Oreochromis niloticus: one gene and its partner. The protein of the gene in region 1 purifies or fractionates together with the protein of each later gene. This does not show direct contact. Links are inferred from orthologs where the notes say so. Each region holds a gene or a part of one and is shown in the gene's direction. Other genes may lie near its edges.

What was found.
Region 2: the proteins of rnf111 (region 1) and skia purify together in Homo sapiens (affinity purification with western blotting, with the first as the bait; 3 studies listed by BioGRID). This does not show direct contact. The link is inferred for Oreochromis niloticus from reciprocal best matches to the Homo sapiens genes RNF111 and SKI.

What each region holds. Positions count from the first base shown.
Region 1 is NC_031965.2:21,987,632-21,997,981, reverse strand, and holds the start of rnf111 (E3 ubiquitin-protein ligase Arkadia), read left to right. Parts: upstream 1-5,564; 5' UTR 5,565-5,717; exon of another isoform or gene 5,718-6,053; 5' UTR 6,054-6,116; intron 6,117-10,255; 5' UTR 10,256-10,338; coding exon 10,339-10,350. UniProt on the Homo sapiens protein: E3 ubiquitin-protein ligase. Required for mesoderm patterning during embryonic development. Acts as an enhancer of the transcriptional responses of the SMAD2/SMAD3 effectors, which are activated downstream of BMP.
Region 2 is NC_031984.2:34,007,097-34,016,994, forward strand, and holds the start of skia (v-ski avian sarcoma viral oncogene homolog a), read left to right. Parts: upstream 1-5,899; 5' UTR 5,900-6,429; coding exon 6,430-7,335; intron 7,336-9,898. UniProt on the Homo sapiens protein: May play a role in terminal differentiation of skeletal muscle cells but not in the determination of cells to the myogenic lineage. Functions as a repressor of TGF-beta signaling.

The sequences.
Region 1 (10,350 bases):
TTACTGCAGTTTATTGTAATTAAAATAAGAAAAATGAAAGCATCTCTTTCTTTGTGTCAAGTTGAACCAGTGCCGCTGGGTTCTATATGGGTGGGCGGTTTAATGAGTGTCTTGTGATCCAGATGTGCAAATATTTCTTTTTCATCATGTGTCCACTGTGAATAATTGGACATTTTTTACACAAGCATTCAGAAAAAAAATACCAAAGCACATACATTTTTTACTGAAGATGACAAATCAATTGATGACTTCTGAGAAGCCCAGTCTGCTGACCATATGTGAATTCAGTTTATTTGCCTAATAGCAATGTAATTGTTATTTAAATGCATTTTTGACAGATTGCTAAAATATTTTTGTCTTGTTTTTATGACAGGTGGTGTGTTAAAGTTGTAAAGCACTGAAAATGCTTGTAAGGACTTTCTCCTGCAGGTCCATCTTCTTCAGTACTGGACACAGAGAAGTAAAATAATAAACACGATGGAACTTCTGTTGGCTCTGAAATTTTAAACAAGTTCTTGATCTTGGTGATTTGACTGCAGTGACAGAGCTTATTACGTTTGATGTTAAAGAGTGTCTATAAGTTCATGTTAAGCCAAGGGGTAAAACATTTTTGAAACACTATGAGTTGTAAGATGGAACAGATTTCACAGCCGTCTGTGGCAACTAACAGTAATGTGGAGATTAGTGAGAATGCTGTCATCGAAAGTAATATGTGTAAATACTCCGACTACTGCTTCCTGGACGGGTTTTGAGATTAAGGAATTGTACCACACTTGGTGTTGTCTGTAATTTAATTTGATTAGTCTTAAATCTTTGTTTTACTATACATTTAATTTGTTGGTATTTAGTGTGGATGCTGATTAAGCATCCACAGTATTGTTCTTCTACTTTTCATCTTCCGTAAGTTTTTTGTACGCTATCTCCTTCAACACTATTCAACTTAGAAAAACCATTCAACCACCTCTTCTTTTGGACACGTGTGCTTGTATTTTTTTCTCATTTTTAACTTCTAGGGCAGCACAGTGGCACGGGGTTAGCACTGTTGCAGCACAGCAAGAAGGTCCTGAGTTCAATTCCACCATCGGGCCGGGGTCTTTCTGTGTGGAGTTTGCATGTTCTCCCCGTGTTTGCGTGGGTTCCCTCCGGGTACTCCGACTTCCTCCCACCGTCCAAAGACATGCAGTTTGTGGGGATAGGTTAATTGATTAATCTTAATTGCCCATAGGTGTGAATATGAGTGCGAATAGTTGTGTGTTAGCCCTGCGACAGACTGGCGACCTGTCCAGGCTGTACCCCGCCTCTCGCCCTATGACAGCTGGGATAGGCTCCAGCGCCTCCCCGTGACCCTGAAAAGGATAAGCGAATGGATGGATGGATTTTTAACTTTTATTTTTTTTATATTTATATTTATATTTTTTATATATTTTTTATATTTTTTAAATTATTCAACTTTATTCAACAAAAATTATAATGTATTTCCATGGGAGAATCTTCAAATTCTCATTCAACTTACTCCTCTATCAACTCCAACTACTTACCCATATGTTGACCGACAGACACCATTCAAACTTTAAAATGAAGCCAAGACATTGAACTATTCAGCTTGTGTTTATCTTTTTTAATAACTTTTATACTTTTTCTTCAGTTCTAGTTTAAGTTTCATGCTTTTTTCACCCGTTTCAGAGTTTATAATGGGTGCATATGGGATGGAATGTTGACAGTGAGACAGTTCAACTGCTAGAGTGGGAGCAGGGTAAAAATTTTTCTTAAAATCTTCTCTTTAAACTGCTGCTGTGTCCACAGCATTCAGTCTACAGCCATCATTTTACCCCCAAAACATAGGCATCATTGCCCTCTTTCATCCAATGTTATTAGTATTGTAATAGATGTAATGGTTCTTTCATAAATGTCACCAATGCACAGCCTCCTCTCTGCAACTCTTCCATAGAGTCCAATGTTAAAACGGCTCCCAAAATTCGTCTGAAAATCAGAAGTACAGGCCGTCTTTACACTGTCACCACGTCCATATAATAAGCTCCACAGGCATGAAAACTGAGAATTTTGTAGACTGGACATTGCTGGCGCTCACAGTGAAAGAATTTTGTGAATACTACTTGTAGTTTTCTCTTGAGAAGCATTTGTTTCGGGGTCACTTTTTTGTTTATTTAAACCAGCAGCTGACAGGCGCATGTCTTTGTGTATGTGTGTGTGTGTGTGTGTGTCAATGACTGTAGAAAACATGGACAACGCATCAGCACCTCCTCCCATTGTGCAAAAATGAAGCCAAAATATCCCGCTTGTGGAGGATGCCATCTTGCATTTTTGGAGCCAGAGTCTGCGCAGTAGTAACTTGAGGTGGAGCGACTATGTCATGCTCCCGCCTGCACACCCACTGGACGTGACCGCAAACACGCCCCCCTACACATTTTATGTAGCCCAGCTGCTCCAGTTTATTTGCTGATGGGTTTACCGCAACTGACACTCGTTCAATCAAGGTAAATACAACCACGTCACTGTTATGAAAAAGACACACAGCTTAATGTCTTATAGTTCTACAACATCTAAAACCACTCTGTTGTTAATTCGTTTGCTAGATTAGCCGCTAGAATACGCAATGTTTTGGGGGCTTGTTGCTAGCTAGTTAGCGATACTACACACCTGTTACTCTAATAGTCTGTATTATTGAAGGATTCAGCACTCCTTAGGTTTTGTTATCCATTTTTAGACAGCGATGAGATCAGCTGCACACTCCACAGAGGTCCAGAGTTACTGTTAATATCAAAAATGTAATGCTGTCCTTTGAGATTTTAACATTTAAGACAGTGTCACCACTTACAGTCGACAGGCAACATTAATCACATCAATGTGACAGATGTGAACATCAGAGTACAAAATGTCAGTGGTTTCACTAATATCACTAATATCAGTAATAGCAGTTATATACATCTTTCATTCTTCAACTACTGTAATTTCAATTTCAATTTCAATCGGAAACACAAAAAACCAAAAACTGATGAGCCCAGAACTCCAATAGACAAGAAAGGCCGTCGTGACACCATGCAGGCTATAGATAAAGCAGAAACCTCTCTGGAAAATGACGTAACCCCAAAGAAATCCTCTGCTCAACAAGAAGCCAGCATGCAAAATCAATTCAAAAACCACCTTTTGGCAGTAAAGGATGAATTGTATCAAAACGAAGAAAAATACAGATCTTTGGTAGAAAACTGTATGGAAGAAATTGTTAAGTGTGCTGTAAAAAAATCAGGCAAAGTCATCAGTCTGGAAAGGGTTTCAGCCATCTACAACAGGCATACCAACAATATCTGGGCTAAAATCAAGGATGAAATTGATAGAATCCCCTTAGACAAGTTCAAAAACTTCCACAAGGGGATTTTCAAAGTCCTGTGCAAAGAGTTTAAAAATGCAGGATTAGTTCTGCTAGCCTTGGAATTAAATCAGCCAGCAATCGACAATATGATTGCTGAAATTTACATGAAGGAGGCAGCCAAACTATCGAAGAAACTCATCTCATCTATAGGCCGACCGTTTTGTTTCACCAGGAGACAAAACAAGGCTGATGTAATATAGAAAAAATCGTGATGTCAACTGAAAATGTTTCTGGAGAATTTTTAAATTGTCTAGTTTTAAATTATATACTTAAGAAAATCCTCGGAACGGCCGCGGCAGATGGCCACCCCTCACTGAGCCTGGTTCTGCCGGAGGTTTCTCCCTCTTAAAAGGGAGTTTTTCCTCCCCACTGTCGCCTAGTGCTTGCTCAGAGGGGTTTGTCTGTTGGGGTTTTCTTTTTAATAACTTTTTAAAAAAAAGTTAACATCAATAAAAGTTTTTAAATTTTACACTCTGATTTCTGTTTGTTTTCATTGTCTATAAGTTGAATAAATACATGTTTTTTGTTATTCAGTTCAAAGTGTGGTTAGAAAATGCTGTGCTGTCATGTGACCTCTTCTCTCATGTGTGCCGTTTTCTCGTTTTGTATATATTTCTCCTGTTTGTTATTTATTCCTGCTGTCTTACTATTAATATTTTATTCTTGTAGCTGGTGTGGAATTAACTTTTTCATAAAATTGTTTTAACCCTCTCTGGTGTTGATTTTATTTTTTCACAGAAAAAACTTGTTTATATATGAATTAATAAGTTATCATTTTAGCAAACATCAAGTTGATGTTCGTTGATGTACACACACTCACGCCATCATTTCCATACACACACATCAGAAATGGTCTTTTACTTCGAAATCCAAAAGAAGATGGCCTTGATATTGACAGGGTCCTACTAAAGTACAAGGGTGTGTCATTTGGATCTAAAGTGTGGAACAAGACTAAATGATATTTGTTATTGTGTACTTAACATGTCTGTTAATGCTGAAGCTAAATTCACTCGAAGTTGGTCTTTATTTTGAAATTAGGTTTCCACGTCTCTTGTCGTAATACTCAGATTTGGAGAAGGGCTCATGAGCTTGGACAAAGAAATGTGGAGCAGAGCCACTTTGTGTCAAAAGGGAAAAGTTGAAGTGTGTCAGCCATCTTTTTGTAGGTTTTCCAGGTGCATCCAACTGTGAGGAAATTCAGGGAAAGAACCAGAAATCTGTGAAGAGATAATATTTCTCGGCAGACCAGGGAGCACCTTGGAACAGGAGGAGGTTGAACAATGCTTGGGAAAAGAACATGTGGTACACTGTGCTTAATCTTCTGGCACTTTGGACAAGCAGAAGAAAATGGGTGGATGAATTTGTGTGGTGCTGAAAATATTTTACCAACTTATGAACTTATAAGTCTGAAACAAGTTCATGCTATGATTGCTGAAACATAAGACACAGATCAACAAAACTTCTACTTTTATTGAGGCGCTCACACTTGCTGATAATCAGTTATTCAGGTGCATTTGATTAGCAGAAACTGGCTGCTTCATATTCTCTTAATTCCTATGAAAGCAGTGAGTATGGACTTAGTATTTTTCACACACACTGCTTCTGCATGTTGGCTGAATTTTTCTTATATAAATGGGCACAATGTAATGTCGTGCTTTTTAAGTGATCTGAGGTTGTATTTATCTATTTTTAGACCTGCAAAGGGGCAGATTAATTTTATTAAGTCCTGATAATAAAAAATACCGTAGAATCAAAGTGACTCCTTTTTCATATTACTATGTCAAGATCTAGCTTGTTCTTGTTGTTCTTTTTCTTTTACATCATTGGATGCATGTGACGATATTAGTTTAGTTTAGTTTTTGTTTTTGTAAAAGAATAGTACTTACTATTAAAAAAAATCTACCATCTATGCTCATATCAAATCTATGTCTACTAGTAGACACTAGTGGGCGTGCTAGTACTTGAAATAGAGGCTCGAATAAAGCTACATAATCTTACATTAACTCCGGCAATAGGATTAAACACCTATAACTACACCGGTGTTCTACTCTTTTCTTTTTGGCAGGAAACAACAGAAAGAGAGACTCTCCCGTCTGGCCTGTAACGACCATTTTATATTGTTATTATTATTTTTTTTAAGCCACACTTTTCAAGAGTAAAGAACTTGTCGTAAAGTGTCGTAAAAGTAGATGGCGGGGGTTCAGCGCCCCCATGCGGCATTACGGGCAATGACTGCATTGTAGAAGCGGCCAGCCAAGAGACGACCTGCTGGGTAAACAACAGTGGATGCCTCGGAAGGCAGGAATGGGAACTTCGTCGAGGGCAAATAGTGAGATTTTTTTATCTTGTCACATAGAGAAATAACACGGAGGTCGTATTGTCTCTTTCGAGTCGACTGGGTTTCCATTTCGAGCCAAAATGGCTGATTATAATCGAGTATTTACTGAGTGAAGTGGAGCTAGCGTTAGCTTAGCTCGTAGCCATCCGGGGCCCACTGCCTTCGATTTTGCTTCTCGGCACGGCTTGGGACTGTGTTGCCAGTTTCACAATCCCGGCCGCTACAATCCTCCGGGTCGCGATTTCTGCGTACTAGGCCTGCCTAGTTGCTGTTCGGGTAACACGTAGAAAACTACCTGTTTTCACTACTTGTCACTATTTCCTGCAGGATACAACCCCGCATGTTGCAAAAAGGACGGTGACACATTTTGAAAAAAGGACTTGGACACAGGTACGTGTTGTCTTTGTTGTCTTCTGTCTGGGATATTTATCAGGCAACGGCTAGCTGTCCACTCTGGTTTCTCTCGATTCGTTATCGTAATATTGGTAGCTGATATTTTGGTGTGAGTGCTTCCCTAATAAAGCGACATTATCCAGCCTCAGTCACTTCGGCACCGTTTGTGGGACATACACACACAGAGAGACAGACAGACGGGCAAGCAGGCAGACAGCAGCTGGGCTTATTGTAATTGTTAAGCGTTGTAGAAAGTATGCTTAGCCCCCAGCTTCAGGCTCGATACTGCCAGCCTAAATAAATCTATGTAGCTGTGTTTTTGCTTGCCTAATCAGTTGTTAGTGGTCAGAAAGCACTGTGGGTATCGTTAGAGCTCAGCAGTACTAAATCAGTCGTACATCTTGAATTGGTTTGCTGTTGCCATTTCTGATTGCACCCACCCCCATGTATTTTCTACTATAGATAGGCACCAGTTAACGTGGTAGAACTACCTCTTTTCTTCGTGATCTTATCGCCTTCATTAGAAATCAGCAGTATTATGGTGCAGCTTTGAGCCTTTGGGATTTTTTTTTCCCTTCAGGGCTGTCCTCTGAGGCCCCTGAATTCATGCTTGTCATTGCGCAGCTTTTACAGTGAGATCTGAAGCACTCTCACTTATGTGTTAGATATATATAAAAGCATATAAGACCATTGTTGCGTGTGCTTTTCACAGTTTTGCTAAATACTTGAGCAAATCACCCTCCTCTGACATAAAACCTGGCATCCCCTTTGACAGAAGTTGCATCTTCAGGTCAAGTGACAGCCAGGGTGCTGTTGTGAAATATGCTGCTAATGGACGTCGCTTGTGCATTTGGGTTTTCTCTGTCTCAGGAAATGCTCTGTAACCTACCACTTATATGCACAAATGTACATACCAAAGCAGTGCAGTGCATTTTACTGAGACAGTGCCAGGAGCATGTTGAACTGTGTAGTAGTTATTTTTATTGGGGGTTTTTTAAAAATCACTATTTTGTATCTTAAAGAGAAACAATTTACTTTTGCTGTCAGCTGACTTTGTGTCTGTCCTAAATGCATGCAGTGTTCTTCATGTTTGGTATTTTAGCTTTTAGCTCCAATTTTTCTAAAAGCAGATTGAAGCAGGAAATTGAAATCAAATTCATGTTGTTGTGAATTGTGTGTTCCCAGCACACAATGTGGACAGGGACTAGCAAAGCACTGATTTCATATTTTTGTGTTGCGTTACATCACTTGTACTTCCAGGTTGCATAGACAGAGTTGGTACAATATGTTCCCAAATTACATTCTGAAATAGTAGCATCATGAATTTGTTTTCTGATTGCATCGGGTCAACAAGTACGACCAGCTTGTTGCTATAGGTGAAATCACTACATGCATACAGTGCAGACTATTTGACTTTGGGTTTACTGACGGTATAAAGCGCCCTAAATCAGAAAAAAGTTAGCCAGAAAAATACTGATCTGCTTTTAAGAGATGATCAAATATTTTGTTCGTGCTTGAAAGCACGGTGGCACGGTGGTTAGCACTGTTGCCGCACAGCAAGAAGATCCAGAGTTCAATTCCACCGTCAGGCCGGGGTCTTTCTGTGTGGAGTTTGCATGTTCTTCCCGTGTTTGCGTGGGTTCCCTCCGGGTACTCCGGCTTCCTCCCACCGTCCAAAGACATGCAGCTTGTGGGGATAGGTTAATTGGATAATCCAAATTGCCATTAGGTGTGAATGTGAGTGTGAATGGTTGTCTGTCCTGTGTGTTGACCCTGCGACAGACTGGCGACCTGTCCAGGGTGTACCCCGCCTCTCGCCCTATGACAGCTGGGATAGGCTCCAGCACCCCCGCGACCTTGAAAAGGATAAGCGGAAGCGAATGGATGGATGGATGGTGCTTGAAAATACTTTATACAGAACCAGACTGATTGTGTTAATACCAATATTTGGGAAGTTTAAAATTTCTCTCTCAATATATTTGCAGCTGTTGAGGTACATATAGTGTATTACAGCTTTACTGAAAAATGAACGTGATAGGATTGCTGATTATTAACCCTTCAGTACCTAACCTATTGTAAAGTCACTGCTTGGCTCCATTCTGGTGCTACTCTACTGCATTTGCTGCAATAATCTCTGAGGCTTAGCTGTTCTGCTGGAAAAACTATGCGATGTTGCTATTACCCCCAAACATCCTTCTCTTCATTATAGTCAGTAAAACGAAAAATTCTGATGCCAAAACATGAATTCTTATATGGTATCTTAAATAAGCCAGTATCCGCTTATACATGGATATATAGGTCAGGCTAGGATCCCATATTCTGAAGTATGTAAACAGAATGTTTTCTGCCCTTTTTAATGACAATTTTAAAGCCTTATCTATTACAGATTTCTAATGTATATCTTTGCAGTCCATATGTTTACACATCCAGGATTGCCAATAATGCCAAGCTATGCAATATATTTATTATGTAATATGTTGCAAGAAAGTATTCCGTTTTACATCTACTGAATTCTGGATTTGATTTGATATTGATGATTGCATTAAAAGCAGTTTCCAGTTTCACTGATAACTAAATGGCATTGTGATTTTCTTGACGGTTTGGAAACACAGCCCTCTCAGTTTTTACATTCCATGTTGGTGCAAAGAGCACTGTTGACTGCTATGTGCTTTTAGAACGTACACGTGGAGTCACGGAAATGGCTTTTTTTTTGTTGTTGTTGTATGTGCAAAATGGTTTAAATTTCATAAATGACTGGCTTTGTCGTTGTTCTGGGAGACTTCAAAACCACTGTGAAAATTTTTCCCACGGCACCAGAGTGAAAGAGGCTCCTTCTCTTAGCAGATACACGTTGGTGCACCCAAGTATAACTCATACAGTCTCAGAGTCATGAAATAAACACGAGAATTTGTCTCCCTTTCAGATCTTTTTTTGATTTTTGTCATGCTTTTCTTGGTATCCACAACAATGCAAACACATCAGGGCTGTTGACTCATCATTACTTTGACTCAGCCTATGGGTATTTATTTACTGTCTTTAATCAGCAGCTTTGGGTCATTCTGTGTTAATTTGTATGAGAAAACAAAATGACTTGTTCAATGAATAGATTGTCGTGTATTTACACGGTGAGGTATTGTTTTAGATGAATTACTGTTTGTTCATGTTGTTGATTGGCCAGTGAAATGTCAAAAATGGTTAGCTTGAACGATTGCGTGCAGACTGAAAATAGAGAAGTACAATTGTCTTACAATCTATTAAAAAAATGCTGCATTTGGTTAAGGATATTAAGAATGAAGACTTGTTCGTGCATTCCTGCACTTCTCGGAGTCAGGAAGTCTAGCTCCAGCCTAGCTGTGGTCACGTGTTTTTGAGTTGGAATAAGGAAACACAGTTTAGTCCTAAAAAGACGACATGATAAATCATTGCTAGGAGTGATTAAATAACATGTTGACAGCTGTCTGCAGGTTTTACTCAGCTCATTATTAAAGTATTCAAATGAAAATATTCTCAGACTTTGTTTTGTTTTGTTTTTTAGTTTCAACATGAATGAGTGTTTACTCAAATTAAGAAACGATTTTTTTCTGCTTTTAAACACCATCAGTACAGAACAATCATCTACTGTTTCTCTTTTATGCACCTTACATTAAATGTTTCTTACCTGTTTTTGTATCTAGTGGGGTTTTTTTGTTTGTTTGTTGTTGTTGTTGTTTTTTTTTTGTTGTAGGTAGGATAGGCTGCAGAGGCCATAACAGAGTCCATTAGTAGTTGATTCTTTTGGTTTTCCCTCTTTGTGTATTTTCTTCTAGATGTATAAACAAACATTTACGTTTACTTCAGTTTAAATGATGTCTGTAAGGCAGATTTTAGTCATATTTGAAGAACACTGAAAAGCACATGATTAAATTGTCTTAAATAGTTAAGTTGGTCAATTGAAGCTGCCTGACTACTGAGGACTTTAAGTGTGTTTACTGTAAATACACCTAAAAAAATACATTAGAACATAGACTATTAATACCTCATCCATCAGACCTACATTGAGCTCACAGCACTCATTCACATTTTGCTTATTTTATTTTCTGTTTCTTTGTTGACTGGCCTGTGTTTCTGTAACTCTTACATTTTTTTCCCTTTTCTAGGTTTGGTGACATGCAGTGGTGAGAGGCTTTGGAATTAATGCAAGTTCACTTGGTTTTTGCTCCGTGAGGTCAGACCTGCCACCATGAAGAGTGAG
Region 2 (9,898 bases), on another chromosome or scaffold:
CACCACCTGTGTGTAATCTCCCTGTGTTTCTCTGTGTGTATTTAAGTCACGTCTTTAGTCATTGTTGTTGCTGGTCCGTCTGCGTATCCACCCTGTTTCATTCTGTGTGTTTCCCTGCCGTCTTCCATCATTCCGTCTCCTGCTATTCGTGTTCAGGTTTGTGCTCTTGTTCAGGCTCCGTAGTTTAGTTTACCCAGTATAGTTCAGTTCTCCGTTTGCTGTTTGTCCATTTCCTTTGTGTTTAATAAACCACCCTCTCACCGGTACAAGTGCCTGCGTTTGGATCCTCCTTTAATTTCCACACGGCCCCTCTCACTCGCCGTGACAGCCCCAGGGACAGTGCAGAGTGTACACTATGAACATTTCTGTCTAAAAAGACACTGTTAGTATGTTTGATCAATAGTGTGCTGCGTACATGCTTTCCCCCTGGTGAATGTGAGGAAGAGTTGCTTACCTGCACCTCCAGATTGTTATTTATGCTGATGACTCAAGAACCAGTTGCATCAGGATGTGTCCTCACTGGAGTCTTTGGGTTAGCTGTTCCACATCTAGGGATACTTCTTGTTGGGGGGATCTCATGTGAGAGTTTGCCCAAGTACTTAAGGACTTGAAGAAGCGTATCACTGCATCCATCAGACTCTCTTATGGGGATCCTTTGGGAGTGCTTAGTGAGGGCTTGGTTCACATTGCCAGCAATGAGTTAGATTTGTTGCCACTGAGCCAGCCTAGTGTCTGTGATTTATCATATGAATACAAGTTCTTGGCTTAGCTAACAGAATATCCAGTTCTGGGTATTGGGCTTGCGTTTAGTAGATGATGTGGTCCTGTTGGCTTCACTGGGCAGCGAACCTCAGGTTCCATAGGGGCAGAGTCACTACTACATTTCAAACTAGGGTTCATCGCTAGGAAAGACTGGATTGCCTGCCTCAAGTGGATGTGTTTTAAGTGTCTTGTGGCCTTGAGGAAAAAGTGGGCTGTGAGGTTGATGGATGTTGCAACATCTCCAGTGATGTGGTATCATGTATGTATCATGGTCAGTACACATAAACAAAACAGTGAAGAAGGCGCAGCAGCGCCTCTTCTTTCTCAGGAGACTGAAAAGATTTGGCATGAGCCCCCGCATCCTCAGGACCTTCTATCGCTGTGCCATTGAGAGCATCCTCACTGGATGCATCACCACCTGGAATGGCAACAGCACCGCTTACAACCGCAAAGCTCTCCAGAGAGTGGTGCGGTGCTCTGAACGGATAATTGGAGGTGAGCTTCCCTCCCTCCAGGACATCTACAGGAAGCGGTGCCTGAGGAAAGCAGGGAGGATCATCAAGGACTCCAGTCACCCCAGCCATAAACTCTTCAGACTACTTCCATCAGGAAGGAGGTTCTGCAGCATCCGGTCCTGTACCAGCAGACTGAGAGACAGCTTTTTCCACCAGGCCATCAGACTGCTGAACACGTCATAGACACCTCACCTTCACTACTGGAACTTCAACATTATGCACTCCACACTGTACATTAATGCCACTGTTTTGCACATACCAACCTCTGTACATTTTATATATCTTATTTTATTGTTTACTCTATTTCATTTGTAAAATATGTATATACACACTCACTCACTCACACACACACACACACACACACACACACACACACACACACACACACACACACACACACACACACACGTAGAAAAACATATTTAGTATACACATCCAATAATGCATATACTCTTATTGTACATATATTTATTACTTTCAGATTTAGCCATTCTTATATTTTTGCTTGTTTTACGTTATTGTATTTTTGCACAACTCTGTTGCTTGAGAAGCTCGCACACAAGAATTTCACTCGCATGTACTGTACCAGTGTACCTGCACATGTGACATGACAATAAAAGTGATTTGATTTGATTTGATGTAGAGTGCAGATGTGGACCCAGATACAGACTGGTTTGCAGAGTTAAAAAAACAAAAACACAAACCTTTATTTAGATAAATGGAAAGTCCGACAAACTCAAACCAGAAGACACAGACAGGAAGAACCACAGCGAACAAACAGCGCGACCCAACAAAGGACGGAGACAAACCGAGACCTAACACACACGAATGAGGCAATCAGGGGAATTGGACATGATACAGTTGTAACTAATGAAATGAAACATGGAAATAAACTGAATACAAAGCACAGGAACACGTGACTATCAAAATAATATGGAAGGTAATAAACAAGCAACAATAACAGAGAGATGGAGACTTAATTAAAAACAGGGAAGGCAGGAAAAACAAAAATAACAACAAACTACAACCATGAACATAACCAGATTACAAACTGACAGGGTGACTATAAACAACAAATGTAACCTACAAAACAGATAAAACCAAAGTTTTAATACCTGAAAAGGAAACTTAAGAAACAAGCTATGTAATAATACACAAACTGGAAGGATCAGAAAAGAGAATCAGTAACACAGGGTAACAGACCCAGGACCATTAATATTAATTTAGATAAATATATTCATATATTAAACTGGACTGCATGGTCTCTGCTCTTTTTCCCTCCGCGATCTACTTCCGTGGCCCAACTGCTGGTTATGCAACAAATATGCAGAAAACTAAGAAATGACAAAGGATGCAGATACTTTTTGATGGCGCTATAACCGTGAGGAGTGAAAGAGTGGAACAGAAACCGAATTGCTCGATTCATTGTGGGAAGTTCCCCCAACAGCCTCAGACTCTAATAACATAACCAAGAGATGGTTCAGAGTCTATGAGGTGTATGCTGTATCAAAAAGGACAGCTTTAAGCCTAATCCTTAAATTAGAGACATGTCTGCCTCCACAATCCAAACTGGAAGCTGGTTCCACAGGAGAAGATCCTCACAGCTGAATTCTCTCTTATTGCAATTGATTTTTCACATGCATCTCTCAGTCCTCCATAGCTCGTCTCCATAGCTCGTCTCCAGCTGATGCAGGACACAGCAGCAAGGCTGCTAATGGAATGACTGGAGGATTTTATGGGTTAGGCTTTCTTTAATCTTCTCCCCTTTATTTTTGGCCATAGTTTGCAACAATGCATGCATGCATGTGTGCATGTTGGAACCAGTGTCTGTTGTTATAGCTGATTGTGTGTCTGTATGTTTTAAAATGTACACTAACATGTTTTTTTTCTTACCCCATTATTTGAAACCTGGTTCCATATTACTCGAACATTCACTGTAACATTATATCCACTGTACCACAGATCTGCTCCATCTCACCACTGGTCGTCCAGACTCTCTTTTCTCTGGAGGAAACCTTTGCAATTGGTTATGGCTACGTTCCAAACACATGGACATGGAATTGCAGCCATGCCCGTGTGAGGAAAAGCTGCTGTCGTTCTTTGGGGTTTTCTGGAGTAGTCCTGGGAGGAAAGATTTTAAGCATTAGCTCTAAGCACTGTCTCAGCTCTGTCAAAAATAACCTACTGCAGAGCATGCTAGTGTATAGCACAAGTTACCATGGTGATGTACCCTGATAAGAAGCGACCCACTGTTGTGACACTGAAGGTCTAAATTTGAACTTACCTCACTAACCACATATGAGTAAATGATAATCACAGATGAGCTCGCTGGATGTTTGGGGGCGGGGGGGGGGGGGGGGCAGGAGGACAAGCACTGCTTGGTAAGAACATGAATCATTGAAAATGAGGGTTGGCACACACTCTGCACTGTCTAACAGCTTTGGCCTTGATAGAATGAGAAGCCTAAAGGAAACACACGCTTTGTATCTCACTTGAAACTGTGGGAGAGAGAAGACAAAATCCACACACAGCCAGTAAACACAGTGTGCCAGTATAGGTGCCACAGCTGTATGCTGGCTGAGAGGATGGTGTCATGCTGCCACGACAGGGCTGGAGCCCAGACCTGTGCCTCCAACACCTCAGGGACCACTGGCTGCACACTGTATAAAGGTTATTTAAAAACTTTACACGTAATCAGTAATCAGTCACTGTTGGGGCTGTGTGTAACACATACAGTCAAAGAGCACAGATTGTACTACTGTTCAGTCATAAATCTCATGTTCTGTCTTGCTGCAGACAGCGCACTGATAGTCAGAACCACAAACTCTTTGGGGTTCATATAACTGAGTAGTTACTCTGCAGTTCTACAAATACTGAGAACTACTGTGATTTAAATATGTTCTTTTATTGTTACAGGTGGGATAAAGATACTTTTCTATTAGTATGATTAGTAACTAATTAATGAATAAATAAATTCAGTCCTATAGAGTTTTTGGTGACTAAATGATAAAATGCTGCAGTAGAAATATTTAATCATGTTTCGACATTCACAAATGCAAACTCAAGAGTTGCCCGTCAGACTTGTTTGTGGTCAGCAGTGGGAGATCCTTGACCCCCGATCCTGCCATAACGTTGCAGTTACAACACTGTGTGGCTAGGGGACGCCACAGGAACAGCAAACTCGTACTGGAGTTGAACTTCGACTCGGACCCCCTGAGGTTGAGCTTGTATGTTTGAATCAGCCATTTATTTTTCTCCTCTTCACTTGTTATAGCAAAGTTCAGAGAAAACAAAGCCTCTGTCTATTTATATGAGTGGTATTCACAGATCTGATATATTAGGCGACCTGGTACTTAAAGCAAATAAGAGAGAAGGTTTAAAGGTAGCGAACAATTATGATGCTGAGAGCGCAGGTGCATGTTCAAATGTCCACTAACAACTTATTATAGCTGGTCTGTGGAAAAAAACAAGACTCTAGCCATTTCATTAGCAGGATGGTTTCTCAAGGTCGCCAACACATGAAACTTGTTTACTCGGCGCCTCTTGCCAAACAGTTTTAACACATTCAGGCAGAAGGGAAAATAAATAAACCGCAGTCAGTCGTGCAATTTGCGTTTCCTCTTCCAAAGCTAAATTTGTCTTGTCTCGCAAAACACCACCCATCCTCTTTCGACTTTTTCTCTCTGTCTTGACAGCAGCCGTGAACCGAGTGATTCACATAGACACCCAGCTCTTCTGCTAGCTTCGGGGTACATGGGAAATGTGGTAAATACGAGCACTCCTAGTTTGCGTGAAAATTCCGTTCCCGTCGGGGTTTCGTCGATGGATTACTGCACCGCTGCTGTAAACAAACTGCATGTTGAGTTGAAATGCAGACAAAAGTTGCGGAGAAATGGGTCACCAATGTGTAAACTGTGTGCTCCAGATGTTTACCCACATTATAATATAGCAGCAGTAATAGGGTATCGTTCATTGGTTTTTAAATAACTTAATGATAATAATTTTTAAAATGCAAACATTTTATTAGCAGTATAAAATCATTCAAATAAAGGTGTATAGTAATAATAAAGGAACAGAGTACAAAATAACAAAGTAAATGTAATAATATTGTACTTTTTCTCTCCTCCGCTGCCTATTGTGTTGTACGTTTCATTGTTTTTCTTTATGCTACCTGTTCTGACCTGTCTCCCCGATGTGACGTTTGTGTAATGTGTGTATGGTCGGAAGAGGTCCTGTTTCGCTGCAGGTAACTGCAAGTGACAAATAAAGCTTCTTCATCAAAAGAAGAGTCTCTCCTTTAAGAGCCAACCATGCAGTCAATTATATATTAGAATGAAAGGCTAAAGCATCGTATAGACACAGCTTGGGGTGCCACGTGGTAAAAAAACCCACATTTCCCATCTACGCCTTGGAAAAAGTAGCAAAAAGTCTAAATTCTCCTTTTCTTCCACGGCCTGAATGCGTCGTTGTCTTTGCTTTGCTCAGTTCGTTTCTTTTTCTTCGCTGTTCTCTTTTCTGTGTGCACGTGCGCGCGTGTACGTGCGGGGGGTGGCGGCTTGTTCCTGGAAGAGCCCGGCCTGCCTGCAGAGTCACTCACATTCCTGGCCGGGATTCAATGACTGAGCCAGACACAAACGCAAAGGGAGGGGGCGTGTGAGTGAGCGCGCGACAGAGAGACCTAGACCGAGCGCGAGGGAGAGAGAGAGAGAGACACGCGCACTCAGACAGGGGGAGAGAGAGCTCTCGCGAGCGGGCTGGCTCTTCAGACTTCTCTCCGCGCAGTCAGAGTGAACTGCGGGGGCAGACGGGGTGGATGTTTCGTCCTCGACAGCGGAAAGAACCTCAAATAAGGATTTTTACATTTCGTTTTCACGCCTGACAAACGGAACTTTTCGCCTCGGTGGAGTTTGGAAGCCGTTTTTTCAAATATGGACAGTCGGCGCACTGTTACAGGGAGCGACTGGTCGGTGTTGACTCACACACGGGAATAAAACCGCAGCTGGGACTTTTTTCCTGGATGGTTGATGAGGCGTTTCGCACATCTGATCAGCTTTGGGACACGGTGGATTTACCAGGTTGAAGGACGCCTAGCTGGTTGTGATTCCCGGTCGACCGTAGGAAGGATTTACGCATCTAAAGTTGCAGGAAAAGCATGGAGACTGTAAGTCGGCCGAGCTTCCAGCCTCATCCGGGACTGCAACAAACTCTCAAGCAGTTTCACCTCAGCTCTATGAGCTCGTTGGGTGGACCGGCCGCTTTCTCTGCTCGCTGGCAACATGAGCTGCTCTTTAAGAAGGACGGGAAGGAGCCCGAGCCGGTTCTGCAGCATCTGCCGCCGCCCGTGATGCCCGGCCCGCTCTTCATCCCGTCGGACCGCTCCACGGAGAGGTGCGAGACGGTCCTGGAGGGGGAGACCATCTCCTGCTTTGTGGTCGGCGGGGAGAAACGGCTGTGTCTGCCGCAGATTCTCAACACGGTGCTGCGGGACTTTACCCTGCAGCAGATCAACTCCGTGTGCGACGAGCTGCACATCTACTGCTCCCGCTGCACGGCCGACCAGCTGGAAATCCTTAAAGTCATGGGGATCCTGCCCTTCTCGGCGCCGTCCTGCGGTCTCATCACCAAGACGGACGCAGAGCGGCTCTGCAACGCCCTGATCTACGGAGGCGCTTACCCGCCGCGCTGCAAGAAGGAGATGAACGGAGGCTCGCTGGAGCTGCAGTTCACCGACAGGAGCTTCAAAGTCTATCACGAGTGCTTCGGCAAGTGCAAAGGCTTGTTCGTGCCGGAGCTGTACACCAGCCCAAACGCAGCGTGCATCCAGTGCATGGACTGCAGACTAATGTACCCGACCCACAAGTTCGTGGTGCACGGCCACAAGGCGCAGGAGAACAGGACTTGCCACTGGGGCTTCGACTCGGCCAACTGGAGGGCGTACATCCTCCTGGGCCAGGATTACACGGAGAAAGAGGAGAAGGCCCGCCTGGAGCTGTTCCTGGACGAGATTAAGGAGAAATTCGACTTCGCCAACAAGTACAAGAGGAAAGCATCATCCAAGGTGAGCTGGTCTCCGAGCTCTAACTGTTGCAGCTTGTTATTTTCCACCCTTCTCCTTAACGTTAAAACGAGCGTGGGCCACCAAACTTGAAACATGTCCCGAGCAAACACGTTTCAAGAGTGGATGCTGAGCCTGACAGTGTCTGGTCACTGCTGCTGCTGTGGTCTTACTAATTGGGCGTCATCCAGCAGCGACAACAATATGCCTCTGGTGGCAATAAAGCCATTATCTGACCGTCAAACACCTAAAGGGTCGCTTTTTATTGGCCTGTACAGTAAATAGAATCTCATTTCCCAACAAACGGCTCAATGGGAAATAGTAAACAACAGTTGTGAGATAATGTTGTCCCTTCTTCAGAACACTGTGGTTCAGTGGGCTAGAAGCTGTCTGTGACTGTCTCTATCTCCAGTGGGCGAGATAGACCTGACTGTTAGTGTGACAGACCGGTCTGGTGTCTTATGTGTCATTTTACTTGTCTGTGGTTTAATCAGTGCTGATGTCATTTCCCCTCTCTCTAGTCTTATCCACGTTCTCCTGTGTTCTTGTTTGAACAGTCCCAGTAATCAGGTTTTAGGTTCTGCATGCTTTCAGTGGTCACACACCTCCAGCCTCAATCATCAGGTTTGCTTTTTCTGAGCCAACTTACTTTACAGCTGCGTGGAAGGACTCTGTTAGCTTTGGTGTTTGCAGACTGATAGAAAGAATCCCACCGCTGTGGGGGGAAAAAGGCTAGTGAGCCCATTTGCATGAACTGTTACACATGAATGGAGCTGATGAAGCGGGGTTTAGAAGTATTGTGGTGGAAACATAACATGATCCCAACAAAGGGAAGCATTCAGCAAACATCAGAACCCCCTCTACCAGGGCAGCCACCCAGCTCTGACAGGGCTCCTCCTTTTGCCTACTCTCCCTCTCCTCAGTGGACTTGTAGAGCAGAGCGGAGTTGTTGATGAGGCTCAGAAAGCAACAGCACAAGTGTTTACAAGAGCTTTCCTCCACTCCTCCACTGAGGCTTCTTTCAGAAAAACCTGCCAAAGAAAGGGAGATCAGGGAGGCCCTTGAAGTCCTGAAGAGTGCCAGAGTCCTACCATGCACGGTGAACACACACTCTTGGCACACACTTTCATTCAGACTTGAGTGGACACACCTCAAGGACCTCCACTTTCAGGGGCCTCTTGTGTTTTTCCAAGTGCTGACGGGGCGCCCGAATGTTAAGCTCAAGGCTTGTTTGAAATGCTTTTTAATTCAAGCCCCGCCCCCGAGCATCTGAGGGACTGCGCACAGGTTGAGAAATATTGTTGCTCTCCTTTTTCTCAACACATTTGGGCACAGCTGAGGAAATGTTTGAGGAGGATGTCGCCACAGCGCCTTACTTTGAAACACGTCACTGCTGTCAAAGGAGGGCAGCTCAGTGAATATTAGTAAGACTGATAGAAAAGTGTCAGCAGCAGTCTCGCATAGCAGACAGACACAGGAAGCGATATTGCCACACTTCCCTCCTTGCAGACGCTCTTTTGAAAGCTTCCTCCAGAGACGAGTGAATCACAGAGTAAAAAAAGCTGTTCACATTTAGCAGCGTGCCTCCAGTTGTGGAGAAGTGTGAACTTGAAGTTCATTTTTCCTTTTTTTATCTCATAGGATGCAAGGCCACAGTGCAGGCTGCAAAGCACAAATGCATTAAAGCGTTCCACGTAGTTTGGGGAAGGATTTTCTGCGCAGGCCGGCCCCAGATTGCCATGCCAGGCTTCTCCTTTCTGGCTGGCACACATAATGAGTGGGTTTCCACATGAGGATGTGGAGATAAGGCTTGTGGCTGCAGATTTAGTGTGACACTAACTTTATAATTTGGCCTCACGATGACGTCAGCTCTGCACAATCTGCCTGGCTGAGAGAGATATGAGAACTAAAGAGCGAGGGTAGCTGTGGTGGACGGTGGTGAGCAGTTGAAGCTCGACTCGTGCTTGGCTTAGAAAAAAGTTTACCTCAGACTTTTTTGGTTTGTTTGGGTTTTGGCACCTTCCTACGTGGAGAGGGTCCTCCTCGGGCTTCTTGGTTACTGTATCATTATTATTATTATTGTTGTTGCTTCATCGGTCTGTCTCATATTGCAGATGTGCGCCTCCTCAGAGTGGTGAGCATGTTTACACGACTGTTGTAACTGGTCGTGAGCGAAGCGTGCGTGTCTGCGGAGCTTTCAGGTTCCTCCTAAAGTGCTGGGATGGGATTTGTTCAGAGACAGATGTGCACTAAAAACCAGCCAGAACAATAGCAGAGGCCATTTTGCGTCGATGCTCCACATATGCTGCGTTGTTGTGCTGACAACCAGCATATTCCTGCAGGCTGTTTCCACGTGTGGCTGAGGAAAGGCTCAAACCAAACCTGCGTAGGGTTGGAACGCACAACTGTCGAGTCTGAATATATCCTTCCAAGTCAGGGCACTTCTTAAATCTGTAATGTGCAGAAGCCAGCACTTCCCTTTCTGCTGCCCCCACCCTGCTACCCCCGCTGCTTGGGATATCTGGCCTCCAGCTGAAGGAGCTGCTTGTTTCAGGAGAGACGTGGG